3 linked regions of the Oryctolagus cuniculus genome follow. The protein of the gene in region 2 interacts with the protein of the main gene of each other region in a pairwise test. Links are inferred from orthologs where the notes say so. Each region holds a gene or a part of one and is shown on either strand. Other genes may lie near its edges. The genes, in order: NFYC, SREBF2 and SP1.

Region 1 (6,434 bases), on a different chromosome or scaffold from region 2:
AAAAGGGAAGCCCTAAAAATAGATGACACTAGCCATGGAAAATCGGTAAAGAAATCCCTACGGGCTTCTACCATTTATGTTAGAGGTATCTTACAGTAGGTATCAATGAGATGAAATGTAAACTAGCATTTAGATTTTATTGAGGCCAATTTATGTAAAAAAGAAAGTCTTCATCTCAACATTTACTTGCTTGCTAGGACATTGCAAGCTGAAGACTGACAGAAAGGAGATCACATGACCTCAAAGCAAATAAAAGAGGGCTACAGTTTACTTTATAAATATTTGGTGCACAAACTGAAAATGTAACTCTGCTTAGCAAACATCTGCAATGATTACAACTTATTGCCTTATAATGCAAATTTCAACATCTAATCAGAACAGACTCCCAGCTTTCACTCCAAGATCCCTCAGTCTAATCTAATCAGCATCCCCCTTTCATCTTATTCTAAGAGGTCCTTAATTTTTGACAAAAGAGTTAAAATTCTTTCATAGGAATCTTAATGGATGAAGGTTTAATGAACTTAACATATGCATCAAATGGGTCATGCTTGCATAAACAGGAATATGCAGGTGAATGCATGCAGAACTAGTTTAAAAAGAGATGTCAGTTTTTTAAAAATCTGTAAATATGTTAAATACTGGCATTTTTTCCCTCTGATGCTACACCTATCTTCATACACATTTAATCCCCCAATAGTTTGGATTCAGTCTGATATTAGTAACTTAATATTTATGCAGTACTTCACAATTTCCAAAGCACAAATACACATGATCTCATTCAAGACTCAGCACTAAGTAAGAGGGCACTGTCTGGGGTCCCATTTTTATACATGAGGAAGCTGACACTAAATGGCTGACTTGTCCAAGCTCACAAAGCTGGCAATCGACCTGGATGGAACTTGAACACCATTTCCTGACTTTAAAAGGCTTGTGCTGTGCTGCCTCAAAATATTTTAATCAAAGTAAATAAATATCCAAATCTTAGACCCCATCTAAGGCCCCGTACCCACCCATACAGTCACCTCAGTTAAGTTACAGTTAGCTCTAGAAGAGCTCTGATCTTTCTGGAAGTAAAGTTTTTATTTCTCTGGAAAACACTTATCTGGCTAAAGTGTTTGATATAAATGCTGTTCAACATACACTAGAAACATCTTAGCTACCAGAAGATCTGCATAGGCATGCTTACGTTCATTTTTCTCCAGATGGTGGGTCAGATTCTCAGAGAGTCCCTGACCCTGAAAAGGTAAAAAATCTAGGCTAGACAGCTTTCCAAGAAACTAAATTCATAAAGTTCTCAAGTCAACAGTTTTACCTAGGCCTCATACGGTACCCCAACTTTAACTTTTTCTTCCTATGCTCCAGGCCTTCTAATCCAGATCCAGTAGGGTCACTCAACATCTACAACAGTTTTTTAAATCATATAAGAAAAACCTGAAACCAACAGATAACATATAAATCAAGGACTTCTAAAAAGTAAGCTTCAATTAAAATAATCATTCCTTAAAATGTAATTTTTAACGCAGTCCTTTCTCTTAGGACTTACATTCCCAAAATGAACATTTTCTTACCATAAGCACGCCAATCTCCCAAAAGAAGTTTGGTAAATGCAACATTGAACTCCTGAAATACCACTTTTCACCAAGCACCCCCTAGATCACAAAGATGACAAGTGGCATGATACTATGATACTCAACTATCACACCAAAAAGATTGAGAGTTTTTTTTTATTCTGTTGTTCTTGCGGGGGTGGGGACAGAAAAGAGTGGAAGAGGGAATGAATGCAGCCTTATTGTCTTACTGCTTGAAAACTAATATGAATCTGTAATATATTCCTACTAAACACTCAAGTTGAACATCAGAAGCAGTCTCGTTTCATCTTAAATAGAGCTTTTCGGTCCAAATCTGTACAAACTTTGTCCTTCAATCTTTTAACTGCTCGGCAGTTTTTCAAGGTCACTTTTTCGAGCAACGACAGAGGCCTGCATCCAGGAACTTTGACTTCTACACCATTCCAACAACCAGAGCCCAAATCTAACCCCCTACTGATACTCTAAGTAAACCCTTTACTAGAGGGGAGGCCAGGGAAGGCAAATCACACCCTCCAAACTTCTCTAACAGGGCCTGCTCATTTTCCCTGCCCAGAGAACGAGGGCTGCTGGCTCACTGCTTCACCCTGAGTCTGCTGCAGAAATGTTCCAATGACCTTCATTCCGTATTTGCAAATAAAAAGAAAACAAAGAGCTGCCTTTTAAAATCAGGTATATTACAGACCTCAACACAAGGGACTGAAGATGTCACTATTCAAAAGAACTGGTTAGTTACTGATTATCAACCTACTTTAGCTTCATATCACTAAAGGGGTGTATCAAGGGCAAGACAGAATGCTTGCACTCTTAACTTCCCTATTCACAAACTGCAGGTAAATTACCATTTTAAATACTCCACACAGAAAATGAAAAGCATTTAGCTAACATTATTTTAAAGAACCAAATCAACACCTGACAAAGTATGTGAAATTGATGGAAAAAGACTTGCTCTTGTCACTGCAAAGATACCTGGAGTAGGATGTTTCTAACCAGCATTCCAAGCTAAAATGTGCATTTTACAACAAAGATTGTTAATAAATCAATTAATGGTAATTAGACTCCAGAAGAAGACAGGTAAATCAAGAAAGTTATGGGAGAATCTCACATTAACATGTGGGCCTTCGCCAGGAGAACCTGCATCAGTGCAAATTATATTTTCACACAAATTTCGAAAGCAATAGTGTTCTTCCACCTCTGATAACACAGATGTCAACAAAGCACATGGAAACAGAAAAACTCTGACAACAACTCAGCTTATTCTGTAGGAAAGCTTCAGTGCACTTGAACAAAGGAAAATTATTTGGAAAACAGTTAAGTTTACCCAAGGCAAAGATAAAGTGCTTTGCTTCTGTGTGCCCCTGAAAAATGATTAGCCTTTCTTCATGTACGTGATCTTGTCAAAACTCAACTAGGAAAAGAAACCCCAGTTGAAGGACATGCAACATCTAAACAGAGCAAGGTATTCTAGGTGCACCAAAAGGTATGCATGGAATGTAAAGTGGCCATTTTCTGAAACAGTGCAACTTGTCTACACTCTCTGAAGCTAAACAGTTTCTATCATTTCAACACAAAACAAAGAATTAAACTTACCGGGAACTGCATTAATTTTACATGTAGTTATTTATATCTCCTCGGACTAGGAGAATTTAAGTCACTCCTATCCCTCCCCCCCCAAAAGGACGGAGGAAACAAAAGGCAGCAGGAGATGCAGAAACCTGAGTCTGGAATGTCCACTCCAGTGAAAGCCCGAACAGCTGTCCCTCCACCCCCCAGCAAACTATTCGCCATTTTTCTTTGTCTTTCAGCTGACCCCTGCCTCAGTGAAAAACTCCGAGGCTCCAATGAAGCCCTGCAGCCTCCTTCCACTTTAACAGTCAAAGGCATTCAATCTAGCATGCTATTTGACACCAAACCTTGCCTCCAGAGTAGTCCCATTGGCTGAGCTGCTTTATCGGCTAAGAACACAAAGACATGATTGGCTGTTCACGTCATCAGTTACCTCCTTTGTACACTTCCTGTTTTAAAGTTACCTTGAGAAGCAGAACAGGGGTCAGATTCAGACTTCAAACTACAGGGAACTTAAATGCTGGAAATGCTCAGCAAATGCACACAGCAGATGCACTACAGTCTCATGTGCTTCCAAAACAGGAGACTGCAAATTTAGAATTGTTCTGAAAATCAGGCGAAAGGGTTGTTACAGTTCCCACCCAAGGGATTTCTTATTGGCTGTCAGAGTTCCATTTAAAAAATTTAAGGTAATTTAACTGCTTCTGATTGGTCATCAAAGATGTCTGTAAGATACTGCTACAGTATCCTATGGCAGTAAACCAGAGAAGCAATGTGCACAAGGTCGGAAAGTTATAATCACCTTCAGTTTTCCGTGGAGCATTAAACAGAAAGGAAAAAAAAAAAGAAAAAAAGAAAACTGCCCCCCGCCCCCAATACCTCAGTAGCTCTAACAATAACAAGCAGTGAGGCCAGTGGCCATAGAATAATTTGCAGGATTTCTAACAGGTATCTATCATATGTTTATAGTAATTTTAAAAGCACGGATTAGTACCAGGGCAAAGCAATTTATCTTAAAACACAAACTGTAGGAAAATCTGGGGATAATATATGACAGTGGCAGGGGCAGCGGCACTCCCAAAAAGCCAACCAGGAACCAAGAAGGAAATACAATGAAAAAGGTGGAAAAAACTGGCAAAGAATACAGAGTGTCAGTGACTGTATTGTTAAAAGTTGATTATAGTTTGATGGATTAATTTATTTAGGGGGTCACAAAATGTTGCTGGTTAATTTTCCTTCTTTCTCTCTCCCTCTCTTTCTCTTGTTTATTTAATTTGAAAGGCAGAGAGACAGAGATCTCTTATTCTCTGGTTTACTCCCAAAGACTACAACAGCCAAGGCTTGGCCAATCTAAAGCCACAGGGGCCAGGAACTCAACCCAGAGCACCTACAAGGGTGGCAGGGACCTAACTACTTGGGTCACCAGCTGCTTCCTCGCAGGATGCTAATTAGTAGAGAGCTGGAATGGGAAGCAGAGCTAGGACTGACCCATTCTAAAACGTCTCCAGCAGCCGCTTAACAGATGCACCAACCGCCTGCCCCATTTAGTTTTTAGGGTTACTTCTACTGCTGTGGTGTAGTGAGCTGAGCATGCGCTTGAGGCACCAGCATCCCATATGGGCACTGGTTAGGGCCCCGGCTTCTCCTCTTCTGATCAGCTCTCTGCTTATGGCCAGAGAAAGCAGTAGAAGAAGGCCTAAGTGCTTGGGCCTGCACTCTCATGGGAGACCCAGAAGAAACTCCAGGCTCCTGGCTTCAGATCGGCTGTTGCGGCCATTTGGGGAGTGAACCAGTAGATGAGAGATCTCTCTGTCTCTCCCTCTATCTGTAACTCTACCTCTCAAGTAAATAAATAAAATCTTTAAAAAAAAAAAAAAGGTTACTTCTACATTTTCAAGAATAAGCAGCAGGACTGTCTCAGGACAAATATTATGAGTATCCTTATTTGACTCAATGTGGTTACTAAAGACATCAGGGGGTACTGAAGTTCAACAGTGGTGGTCACATTTGCTCATGGATTTTGGGACCAACTGCTTAGGTTTTAAGAGGAGGCTCCTAATATGGTAAAATCAATGAACATGTCTTTTTTTTTTTTTTAAGTGAGACATTCAGATGGAAACATCACACCATTATCTAAGTTATTTAATAATTTCCTTAGATCTGCTTTCTCCCTTCAAAGCTAAATATCCTAGACTCCACAGAGCTGTTTCACTAGATCAGTAAGTAAGATCTTTTCTAGACAAGTGAGGTTCAGAGAAGTTAAATAACCGGTCCCTAGCCATACATCTAGATGCAAACCCAGGTCCTTCCTAGAATGGTATTCTTTCCTTCGCACCACACTGCTAAAACCAAGAGATGGAGCACTTAAAGGCATATCCAAGGAAAGTTTAGGTGCCACATATATGTGCAGAAAGCACAAATCATTAGTCATCCTCACTAGTTCAACAATTAGAAATCTGGCTAATATTAAATTTGACCTGACAGGCCGGTGCCGTGGCTCACTAGGCTAATCCTCCGCCTTGCGGCGCCGGCACATCGGGTTCTAGTTCCGGTCGGGGCGCCAGATTCTGTCCCAATTGCCCCTCTTCCAGGCCAGCTCTCTGCTGTGGCCCGGGAGTGCAGTGGAGGATGGCCCAAGTCCTTGGGCCCTGCATCCCATGGGAGACCAGGATAAATATCTGGCTCCTGCCATCGGATCAGCGCGGTGCGCCAGACGCAGTGTGCTGGCCGCGGCAGCCATTGGAGGTTGAACCAACGTCAAAGGAAGACCTTTCTCTCTGTCTCTCTCTCTCACTGTCCACTCTGCCTGTAAAAAAAAAAAAAAAATTGACCTGACGGCTACAGACCTAGCCAAATATCTGACAAAACAGTGCCCTGTAAGTCAAAAGAAATTTTATTACTAAGACTTGAAACAACTAACAACTAAACCATTAACATTAAACATTAAAATACTAAGGGACTGGGGCCGGTTCTGTGGCATAGCGGGTAAGGCCGCCCCCTGCAGTGGCCGGCATCCCATATGGGCACTGGTTTGAGTCCCGGCTTCTGATCCAGCTCTTTGCTCTGGCCTGGGGAAGTAGTACAAGATGGCCCAAGTCCTTGGGTCCCTGCACCCTCTTGGGAGACCTGGAGGAAGCTCCCAGCTCCTGGCTTCAGATGGTCTCAGCTCTGGCTGTTGTGGCCAATTGGAGAGTGAACCAGTGGATGGAGGACCTCTCTCCCTCTCTTTGCCTCTCCTTCTCTCTCTGTGTAACTCTGACTTTCAAATAAATAAATAAATAT
Region 2 (4,609 bases):
ATCATCTGCTGGCAGTCGCTGCAGGAGCGCCGGTCGCCCGCCTTCTCCAGGGTGCGGGCCGCCTCGGCGAGCAGCACTGCCCGCTGGCCCGGGGACGAGAGGAAGGAGAGGGGCAGGTGGCGGCAGGCCAGCAGGATGGCGGTGGCCCGCTCTCGCTGACCGGGCCAGGCGTCCACCTCTCCTGCGGGAGGGAGGGGACGCGTGGGTGAGTGGGGAGCCGCTGTCCCCAGGCCTTTCTGTGGGGCGTTCCCTTCAGCCCCACCCCTCCCACGCGGCTGCGCCCCTCGCCGGCCCGGGGCGGCCGGCAGCGGACTCACCGTGCTTGGTGCTCTGGGTGCTGCGGCGCCGCAGGCTGTGCTCCAGCAGCCGGTGCGTGCGGGTGGGGCTGGCCCCCGCCATCAGGCGCACGGTGGCTTCGTGCAGGAACACCTGGGGAGGGGCAGGAGGACATGCAGTCAGTCCCAGGTGCTCCCGCTCCGCGCCCGTGCGCACTGCCTGCGCCTCTCTGCGGCTGCTCTCCTCGCGCCCCCACCTCGCTCCTCGCTCCTCGCTCCTCGCTCCAGCCAGCTCTGCTGTACCCGAGGCAAACCGGAGCCTGGATGAGTGGCGGAAATGGGGGACAAGGCACCGGCCAGCTGGTGGGGGCAGGAGCAAGACAAGGCCAGAGGCAACAGGCCTGCCTTCCTCGGCTGGCGAGAGTGCCCTGACGTGCACCCGAGGCCGGCTCAGCGGACGGCAGGCCAGGGAGGCCGGCGTGGGGGTGGGGCACAGCTGGGCTGGTACCAGAGGGGGCCTGCACCCCTCCCCTCCTGTGCTCCCGGGAGGAAGAGCGCACACAGGGTCCGCTCTCAGGTCAGGGTGAGGGGTGAGGGGAGCGGGGAGCAAGCTCAGGCCTGCCCAGGTCTCAGGCTCTTCCCAGCTCTCCTGCCGTCCGTGGGCAGGCTCTGTGCCTAGGAGGCAGCTGAGGGGCTGCGCCGTGAGCTGGGGGCTGTGGCCAGCGCGGGTCCCAGCGGCAGGGGTGCTGCCCCGAACCAGGGGTGCACTTCTTCTTTTGCATGGACTGCTTCTTGGATGACGCGTTCTATCTGCCGTTTGGACGGCGGCCCCTGGCCAGTGTGGCCTGTGACCTGGCCAGCGTGGCCTATGAGGTCCCCGCACCTCAGGGCGAGGGCACCTCCATCTCGGCCCCCTCTGCTTTCTGGCAGCCTTCTACAGGTAGCCCGCTCGGCTCCTGGGTCTCCTCACTCAAGTGGCCCGAAAATAACTCGGGTGAAAATCAGAGACAAGGCATGACCCGAGTCCCGCTGGCCCGGTTACAGGACTGTCCTCAGATGCTGTGGCCGCGCCAAGGGGATGTGACCTGGAGATGGTCAGGCAGCAGAACCAAGGCCCCGTGGCCCAGTTAAAAATTTACAGTGCATTTCCCTTCGGCTGTAGCTCCGGGAGACTTACTCTTACTCCCATCAGTATGGCGCTCCCCTGGGGACAGGGCCAAAGAGCCCTCCTACCCAGCATCTGACTGCACTTCAGGGTGGGGTGCCCAGCAGGGGCTGGACCAGTGTGCCCTGACCCAGCGTCAGGCCCGAGCAGGTGCCTGACGGCCACCTGGAGACTGGAGGGCCAACTCCACCACCACCTGCTGGGTCTAGGACCTGGGCCCCACAGACCCCCTCTGCCCTCCACCACCACCTGCTGGGCCTCACCTTGCGGTAGGCTGGGCGGAAGCTGTGTGCTAGCCGGCGCAGGCTGCCCAGGTCCCGCTGGAAGCCAGCCAGCTCGGAGCCTGACGCGTGGTAGGTCTCACCCAGGGCCTGGCTGGCGCCTGCCTGCTTTTGCCAGAGCGCTGTCCGCAGCGACAGGAGCAGGTCACAGGTGAACAGCTGGAACACCTGGGGGTGAGCCACGGGGGAGACAGGTGACCGCCTATCCCTGAGAACAGGGGCCCAGCCCCGCAGGCCCTGCCCCAGCCACACTCAGCCGCCCTGGAGGAAGCAGGGTGCCCGGAGCCTGGGAACTGCCGGCAGCTGGCGCTTGGTCCCAGCTCTGACAGCACAGGCAGGGCAGGAGCAGGAAGGAACCCACGCGGTCTGAAGGCACAGGTTCTCCACCTCCTAGGGTCCCCCGTGGCAGGCCTGGGGGCCGAGCTACCCGAAAGCCCACGGCCGCCTCCTACAAGGGGCAGAGGTAGGGTGTGTGTGAGTGTGCACTTATCTCCTGGGGCAGGGTGTGTGTGTGTGTGCACTCATCTCCTGGGGCAGGGTGTGTGTGTGTGCACTCATCTCCTGGGGCGGTGTGTGTGTGTGTGTGTGCACTCATCTCCTGGGGCAGGGTGTATGTGTGTGTGTGTGTGTGTGCAGTCATCTCCTGGGGCAGGGTGTGTGTGTGTGTGTGCACTCATCTCCTGGGGCAGGGTGTGTGTGTGTGTGTGCACTCATCTCCTGGGGCAGGGTGTGTGTGTGTGCACTCATCTCCTGGGGCGGTGTGTGTGTGTGTGTGTGTGCACTCATCTCCTGGGGCAGGGTGTATGTGTGTGAGTGTGCACTCATCTCCTGGGGCAGGGTGTGTGTGTGTGCACTCATCTCCTGGGGCAGGGTGTGTGTGTGTGTGTGTGCACTCATCTCCTGGGGCAGGGTGTGTGTGTGTGTGTGCACTCATCTCCTGGGGCAGGGTGTGTGTGTGTGTGTGCACTCATCTCCTGGAAGGCAGGACCGTGTGCGCTTCAGCACTTGGCTGTTGGGCCAGCTGACCTGGCTGCCATCCTCGTCTTGCTGCCACGGCGTGCAGCCACGTAACCTGGCATCAGCTTCTCCTCCCTGAGTCTCAGGGTCCTCATCCACAGGGGACTGGCTTGTGTGAGGGCACGAAGCCTCACGGGTATGGGCTACATACACCACACGCCAGTCCAGGCTGCCCACCTGCTGCCACGCCCACAGCACAGGCCGAGTGGTGGGGGCAGGAGCTCCCCTCTGATGGGACCTAAGAGGTCCCCAGGCCGTCCCTCACCTCCTCAGTCCTGGCTGTCCTCGTCCCAGACCCCCACCCACCCTGTGCTTGCTCGGAGCCCTGCTCCTGGGCCACACTGTCCTCGGGCCGCCCTGGGACAGCCTTGGGCTCCGTGGGCCTCCTCTTCCAGGCTCGTTCCCCAGCTGAGCGGCTGCCCGCAGCTCTGGGCCCCCAGGGGCCGAAGTGTCCCGCTGCTCCCTGACCACAGCCGACCCTGTTCTCTGGAAGACTAGGAGAGCCCAGCAGAGACGCCGGGAGGTGGCGCCCCTCCCCCGATCCTGGGCCCGGTCCGTCAGCTGCCAGGCCTTGCGCGGCTGGCACACTCCTGGGCTCTCCCTCGGCGTCCAGCGTGAAGTGCCGGCTATCACCGAGGCTGGCCCTCTGGGCCGGTCCTGGGCCCCTCCTGTCGCGGGGGCTGAACCAGGCGCTCAGCGGATCGCTCGATGCTCCACCCCAGCAACACATTCCACTCCCTCCCCTCTGGTCTCTGGCTGGGCCTTGGGACCCAGCAGTGGCAACAGTGCCCTCTAGCCAGGATCCCCACCCCAAGGGGGGGTCCTTGGTCAAGGCCTGGGCGGGGGCGGGGGCAGGGGCGAGTGTCCGAGGGCCGGGCAGGCCTCTGGGATGCACTGTGGAAACATTGCACGGTACTTCCAGAACATGCAATGCAACTACAATGCACCGCAGCTGCCCGCCAGGAGGGGGCGCTGCCACGCAGGTGGGCCCCCTCGAAGGCTGGCCTGCAGAACAGGGAGGTCCTGCAAGCTGCCTGCAGCAAAGATGGCGCCCTGGCCAGCTGGGTCTGGGACTGAGGGAGCCCAGCACGGGTGCCAGTGGAAACGCGAGCTTCCACCTGGGCCAGCCGCCCGTGCTGTGCGAAAGGGGCCTGGAGCATGGCCTGTCTCATGCGATCGCCCAGGCGGGTGGCGGTGTCCTTCCAGACCAGTGCCAGGACTCCCAGAGGGGTCGGCTGCGCCCACTCACGTGGTTGAGGCCGGGGTCAGAGGTGGCCCCGCTGACGCTGAGGCTGCTCCACAGGTGGCTGCTGGCTCTCTCGCAATGGCAGAAGGAATTCTGCTGCCCGTCCGCCTTCCCGGAGAGCGAGGCGTGCATGGCTCTGCAGACGTGGAAGACGGCTTTCACCAGGGGGCTCCTGCAGCAGACAGGGACAGGCAGGTCAGCGCGCGTCCCCCGGGTGCCCGGCATGCCCCACACGGTGGGTGTGGGGGTCTGCCGCCTGCAAGGCCCGCCCCACCTACCGCACCTCCTCCACCCGGGGCTGGAAGGGGCCAGAGTGCCATGGAAAAGCCACCTAGGCTGGTCATTCAAACAACCTGGGCCACACGTGCTTTGTAACCAAGTGGCCACACGCCGCTCGCTAGTTCCTGTGGCAAAATAAAGCGTGGTTCCCACTTTTGGTACCTGCTCTCTAAGGGAGCATCCCAGACAGGTGTGGTTGTCACAGACCACCTGGGGAGAGGCTGGTGAAGGGTGCCTATGGCATCATTGCCCTGAAGAGCAGAAGAAGCCACAATGCCTGACCCCAGGGGCCAGGCCTGCGGCTTGGCAGGGAGACACCCACAGGTGGAGTGCTAACCCACAGCTG
Region 3 (6,331 bases), about 61 Mb from region 2:
TGTAAAAAAAAAAAAAAAAAAAAAAACTCAAAATGTAATCATTTTAAACAAATCACAACATTTTAAGGAAGTTAAGAGAACTTGAGCCAACTCTTCCCATAGAGCTTCCAAAACCGCAGGAGGCAGTAAATACGGTTGCCTGTTTGTTCCTCACTTACATAAGGACAGATAAATGGAATGAGAAGTCTGTAACGAAAGTAAAGATTTCAAAAACCCACATAAATTTCTCTAATTTGCTTTCCACTTATTTTCTGTGCATCTGTTTTTACACAGTTAAGATGATACTCAACAAGTGAATTATATCTTGCATTTTAAAACTCACATATATTTCAACAAAACTGGAAGTCTGGTGGTATTAAAATTACATCCAGCATACTTAGTATTATGCTAGAACATAAAACTAAGTGAATGGATCCTTTTATTGTGCTTTACTAAGGATTAGCTCTATTTGATGGAATTTAAAGTGATAAATTCTAAATATCCTTTCACTTCTACTTTATGGACATTTTAAATTTCAAATTAAGCAATAATGAAAATAATTCTAAATTAAAGACTGAATATGTGGTCAACTGATTGGAAATGCATTCTAAAAATATACCTCTTCCCTTTTCCCTTCAGTGCTCTCCTTATTCCTAACTCCTATCAATCCCACCCCTCCCCTCGCCTCGTTCTTCCTCTCTTCTCAGCCATCCACAGTGCTTTCAACGCAGTCTCCACCTAGAAAGCATTACAAACACCTAGGAAGTTCACATAAAATACGTATTAGTGTGAGGCGGAGAAATCCTGTTTTTAAAATAAATGAGTTTAAGAAAAAGATGAAAGCTTGACTGACAAGCTTGCAGTCATCGACAGATTAACCAGGGGAACTTATTTTGTTGAAAAACTTTCTGGAACTCGTTAGATCACTTTCCCCTCGATTAGGAGTTACAGTTCTTGAGAAAAACCTGACAGATGAAGCTCATAATCAATTTGTATCCTATGCAGGAGTTAGTCCATAGAATTAAGAACGGTTTTACATTTTCAAAGGAGTGTTTAAAAACCACATACACACAAACGGATGGACACTGTGGCACAGCTGGTTAAGCCACGGCTCCCATCCCATGTCAAAGTGCAGGTTCAAGTCCTGGCTGCTCCACACTGTTCCAATCCAGCTTCCTGTTACGGCAGCAAGATGATGGTTCAAGTACTTGGGCCACTGCCACCCATGTGGGAGACTCGAATAGAGGCCCCAACTCCTGGTTTCAGCCTGACCAGCCCCAGGTTTTGCAAGCTTTTAGGGAGTGAAGCTGCAGATAGAAGATCTCTTTGTTTTTCTGTGTGTCTCTCTGCCTTTCAATTAAAATGAACACTTAAAAAAAAAAAACACGCAAACAAAGAGTACGTGACTGAGATCATATGCTGGCCACAAGGCCCAAAATATTTACTCTCTGACCTTGTATCCAAAAACAAACAAACACACAAACAAAAAGACACTTCTTCAACCTTTTTCCTGCAACACCAGAGACTGGGAAGCACATAAACCTCAGGACATTGCCCAGAATTGCTCCTTTCACATCAGATTAACTGAAAAGTTTCTGTTAATTTAGTTCCACATGATTTCAAAAGAAGCACTGCTATTTCTCTAACTGACCAGCCCTGGGGCAAGTGTTAGCCCAAAAGGTGCTGTTCCCTTCTTCCCACTCCATAGTTTCAGCTGCTATGCTAGTCAGTTCATTATAAATGCAGACTTCCAAAAGACTCGAAGACTCACCTGGGGCATTTGCTATGGCCAACGGCAGGCCTGGGAGCTGGTGCACCTGGATTCCTGACGTACCCAACGCACTGAGGTTAATGGTCTGAAGGCCTGGCATAGAGGAGAGTTGAGCAGCATTCACAGTGACTGTGCCGGCAGGGATGGAGGCAGCTGAGGCAATGGGTGTAAGGGTGGTGCTGCTGCTGCTGGTCTGCCCCAAGGAAACACCCTGCATCGGGGCCAAGGTGATTGTCTGGGCCTGTGGGTTCTGAACTTGGAGGTTCTGCAGCTGAAGAGTCTGCCAACTGACCTGTCCATTGGGCCCAACGGTTGGTGTCCGGATGATGATGGGACCAGAGTTTGGAACAGCCTGCAGCTGGAGGTTCTGGAGGGTTTCCTGGGAGATGGCCTGGGTTGTAAAGGTCTGTCCTGACAACGGCGCCGCTTGGAGGGCCTGGAGGGCCTGTCCCCCCTGAACTAGCTGAGGCTGGATCAGAATCGGCTGTTGCTGTGTCTGCTGGTTTGGCTCTCCCTCCTTCTGCTGACTTGCCTGCAGGGAGCCTCCAGACGTCTGGTTCTGCTGGATGTTCAGCGCATCAGACCCCTGCAGCCCCCCGACCCTCTGGGGTGTCTGACCTTGAGAGTTGGTCCCTGACGATCCGCTGGTGGTGAAATTCATGATTCCCATGTTGCTGGTGGTAGTCGTCGTGGAGTAGCTGTTAGCATTGGTGAAAAAGGAGCTGGAGCTGGCTTGTGATGACACCAAACTGGCGGAACTGATGGTGGTCGTCCCTGAGGTGACGGGCTGTGAGCCACTCTCCTGGGACCCCGAGCTGCTGATGGTGACTGCCTGAGAGCTGGGAGTCAGGGTAGCTGCAGAAACGCTATTGACAGGTAGCAAGGTGATGTTCCCGTTCAGGGCCACCGGGACGTTGGTCACATACTGAGTCTGTCCTGAGAGCACATTATTGGCCAGACCTTGGAGGGGGACAGCCTGTTGAAGCAGGTTTGGCATAGCAGCGATGATGTTGCCTCCACTTCCTCGGTTTGTGATGATCTGTTGGTTTGCACCTGGTATGATCTGTATCTGACCAGAACCATCCTGCTGCACTTGGGCCCCCGTGGTGGCGAACTGCAGCTGCTGCCCATCGACGGTCTGGAATTGGGGGATTACTTGGTACTGAATGTTGGGCATCACTCCAGGTAATCCTGTCAGAACTTGCTGGTTCTGTAAGTTGGGGGTGGCAGCCACTACATATTGCCCACCAGAGACGGTGCGGTTCTTGGAAGACTCGCTGCCATTGCTGCCATTGGTATTGCTGCCACTCTGTTCCTTTGAGGTAGGGGTAGCCCCAGAGGAGGAGGAGATGATCTGCCAGCCATTGGCACCCTGTGAAAGTTGTGCGGCGGTGAGGTCAAGCTCACCTGTGCCCCCTGACTGGCTGGGGCCCTGGGAGTTGTTGCTGTTCTCATTGGGAGACTCAATTCTGCTGCAAGTTGCTGCCAGCAGAGCCAAAGGGGATGGCTGGGATTCCTGGCCAGAAAGGGGGAGATGAGAGGAGTTAGTGACACCCAGCCACCAGCCTAGGGGGCAGTATACAACAAATAAACAGCAACACAATGAAGATTAAAAAGGGGGGGAAAAAACCAACCCAAAAACAGAAAGGAGGTCCTATCGGTACTGCTGCAAACTACCATCTTTAGCGAATCTAAGTTCCTTGAGTCTCTGCGCTGGCTTCCCCATCTATAAAATGTAATCCTCTCCTAAAACTCTTCTGGGAAGAGTAAGCCAGTTTTCTACGAGTATTTACAACCATCCTCTCAACACCTCCCCGCCCCCAGTTCCGGCTGTCACTCACCTGCCCGCCTCCACCTCCTCCACTGCTGCTGCTGCTGCCCGTGCTGCTGCTCCGAGCCTGAGAAAAGGCACCGCCACCGTTGCCATTGCCCCCATTATTGCCACCAACTCCCTTTTCAATCTTCACCACTGCTGTCATTTCATCCATGGAGTGATCTTGGTCTAAAAAAAGAATGAAAAAGAAAAAACAACTTAGCGTGGGGGAAGGGGAGGAGGGGGTGGATAGAGTGCAGGAGAGTTTACAGAAGGCTATGATGAAACAGCAGTGACTAACAGGAAGTACAAAGAAAATGCATTGGGGCAGGGGGGAACTGCAAGGCACATGTGTCATGAGCCAGGCTCACGGCCACGAAGTTTGGCCTCAGGTTTTCCTTGCACAAAAATTAAACTCAGAAAAAGGTGCTCTGGGAATAGGCCACGCAGGCCCGTACAAAGGGTTTCAAAATAAGAAAACGTGTCCTGGGGGTAGAAAGGAGCAGGACAGGTAAGGCCAAACAACATGTGGGTGGATGGAAAGCTTGCTAAAATTAGGGACAAGAGCGATGGAGGCAAAAAATCCAAGTACAAAATGCACCGAGAGGAGACAGGGGAAAAGGGGGGAAGGAGAAACGGTAAGCGGGAGTGGGGAACCATTGGGGACCACAGGTAAGGGGATAAAGGGGTGCAGGAGTGAGCAATCAGAAGGTTTCGGGGCGGGGAAAGGGCGGGCCCTGGAGGGAAAGGGCGGTTTCGGGGTGAGGGGCGTGGAAAGGGCGGGACGCTGGGGGGGAGGGGAGGTCTACGGAAAGTGGGGGGAGGAGGGCCTAGGGGCAGGCGGCGACCGGAGGGCGGACCAGGGAGGCGGTTGGCCCGGGCGGGGCCTGCCCTGCTCGGGCCGCCCCCGCGGCTCCAGCCCCCCGACGGGAGGAGCCTGAGGCGGGAGGCCGAGTTGTGGGGGGTAAGGCCGTCCCCCCCGTGGCCGGGGCGGGCAGGGGGCGGGCGAGGCCACGCTGCCCCCTCCCCCGGGGCGGGCGGCCCATCCCCCTCCTTCTCGGAGGCCCCGCCACTGCCCCTTCTCCCTCCCTTCCCTCCGCCCCGGGCGGGACCAAGGCCGCCGCCGCCGCCTCCCGCCCGCCCCCCCTCACGGCGGGGACCGCCCGGTCTGCCCTCGCGCGCGCCCCCTCACTCCTCTCCCACCCCTCAGCGTGGAGTGGACTCATCCTTACCGCTCATGGTGGCAGCTGAGGGACGAGCTCAAGGGGGTCCTGTCCGGGGGGGTTGGGGGGGGCCGGGAAAAACGCGGACGCTGACGAGGCAAGCGAACCCGGACCGGACAGGGAGGGGGGGGGTAAGGAGGAGGGAGCAGCGCGCCGCAAGCCCAGCCTGGGCCCCGCCCCTTCAGTGCTGCCCCGCCCAATGAGGGAGGGGGAAAGGAGGGACTTGGAGAAGAAAGGCGGGCAGGCTATCCAATGACAATACTCACTCGCTCCCTGAGGCGTGTAAGACAAAGTTGAATGCCTGGTATCCGCCCAAAAAGGCCGCCCCCTCAATTTTCAAGGCCAATGAAGAATGCAGGAAGTGAAGGTAGGCGGGCGCTAGAGATGATAGGCTTGGAAATAAGCCAGTCAGCCAGCAGGCGGGATCCCTGAGAGGTAGCGATAGGAAGAGCTTCGATAGAAATGACACATCAATGACCAACCACAATCCGGGACGTGCCTGGGCAAAGTCCTGGTGGGAGGAGAGGTAAGAAATAGCCCGGAATGGGCTGGGCTGAAGCTGATCATAGCCAATCAGAAATCAGGCGGGCAGCCAGGAAAGTTATGATTGGGTAAATGCTGAAAAGAGACGGAAGAGGACGCATATTGACGTGAACTAAAAACCAATTAAATTCCGAGTGGGCTCTGTAGGCGGGAACTTAGAGTGGGCAGAGGTGAATTGGCTTCTCCCTCAGTTACTCAGGCCAATGAGGGAGCGAGGTGAGTCTGGCACCGCCTCCAAATTGGGCAATGGGTGTTATTTGGGCCTCCCATCATGAGGGAGGGAACTGGGCTGTGCCAAGAGAAGTCCGTCGCCATGTTGGCCCTCCTCTGGGGACGTCTTTACGGTGATTAGGTGGTACGCGTCAGCAGAGCCCTGCAGCTCAACAAGTGGCAGAACCAGGACACTCGGCGCGTAGTTGTGCCTCGCCCGCGGGGGCTCGTTTTGGTTTTCATATATGGGGGTGGAATAAGGAGGAGGGAAAAGTGCCTCTCACGCCGCTCCCCTCCGCGGGTGGGTGGCCAGCGGGCGGCTGCCTCCAGATGTGGGTGGAAACCCTTGGGAGTTCCGGAGGGACGAGACCTGGCGACAGCGCTCACGAAATCGGCTGTGACTGAGCTGACCGATTTGCAAGGTCTTTATAAGACTCCAGCAAACGCCATTTTATTAAGACAAAGGCGTTCAACACTGAGCTGCTCAGCGGGTTAACTTTTCGAGAATTCGTCTTGGAAGCTGAAGTGCATGGGGGAACCTCGCACGGTCGGGGTCTTAGAAGCCACTTCCAAACCCCACCCCTTAGTTGTAAATGCAAACGAAGCATAAAGCAAGGTAGCCGAGCTCCGGCTTTTTGTACAAAAGTAATAGCTTTCACCCGGCGCACCTGAATTGCGGGCCTCCATCTTGTCTTTTTTCCCCGGGCCTTGATGGCTTGTCAATGACACGATGAGGTCATTCCCTGTAGCACTTGGGTCGTTAACGTGGAGTCACTTCATTATTATACAGCA

What was found.
Region 1: the proteins of SREBF2 (region 2) and NFYC interact in binary tests that used the Homo sapiens proteins (3 or more experiments, as listed by UniProt). The link is inferred for Oryctolagus cuniculus from reciprocal best matches to the Homo sapiens genes SREBF2 and NFYC.
Region 3: the proteins of SREBF2 (region 2) and SP1 interact in binary tests that used the Homo sapiens proteins (3 or more experiments, as listed by UniProt). The link is inferred for Oryctolagus cuniculus from reciprocal best matches to the Homo sapiens genes SREBF2 and SP1.

What each region holds. Positions count from the first base shown.
Region 1 is NC_091438.1:132,230,787-132,237,220, forward strand, and holds the start of NFYC (nuclear transcription factor Y subunit gamma), read right to left. Parts: upstream 3,464-6,434; 5' UTR 3,375-3,463; coding exon 3,302-3,374; exon of another isoform or gene 3,189-3,301; coding exon of another isoform or gene 3,177-3,188; intron 1-3,176. UniProt on the Homo sapiens protein: Component of the sequence-specific heterotrimeric transcription factor (NF-Y) which specifically recognizes a 5'-CCAAT-3' box motif found in the promoters of its target genes.
Region 2 is NC_091442.1:117,823,746-117,828,354, reverse strand, and holds part of SREBF2 (sterol regulatory element-binding protein 2), read right to left. Parts: intron 4,157-4,609; coding exon 3,988-4,156; intron 3,686-3,987; exon of another isoform or gene 3,626-3,685; intron 1,890-3,625; coding exon 1,704-1,889; intron 430-1,703; coding exon 318-429; intron 182-317; coding exon 1-181.
Region 3 is NC_091442.1:56,372,971-56,379,301, reverse strand, and holds the start of SP1 (transcription factor Sp1), read right to left. Parts: upstream 4,337-6,331; 5' UTR 3,922-4,336; coding exon 3,592-3,921; intron 3,267-3,591; coding exon 1,751-3,266; intron 1-1,750. UniProt on the Homo sapiens protein: Transcription factor that can activate or repress transcription in response to physiological and pathological stimuli.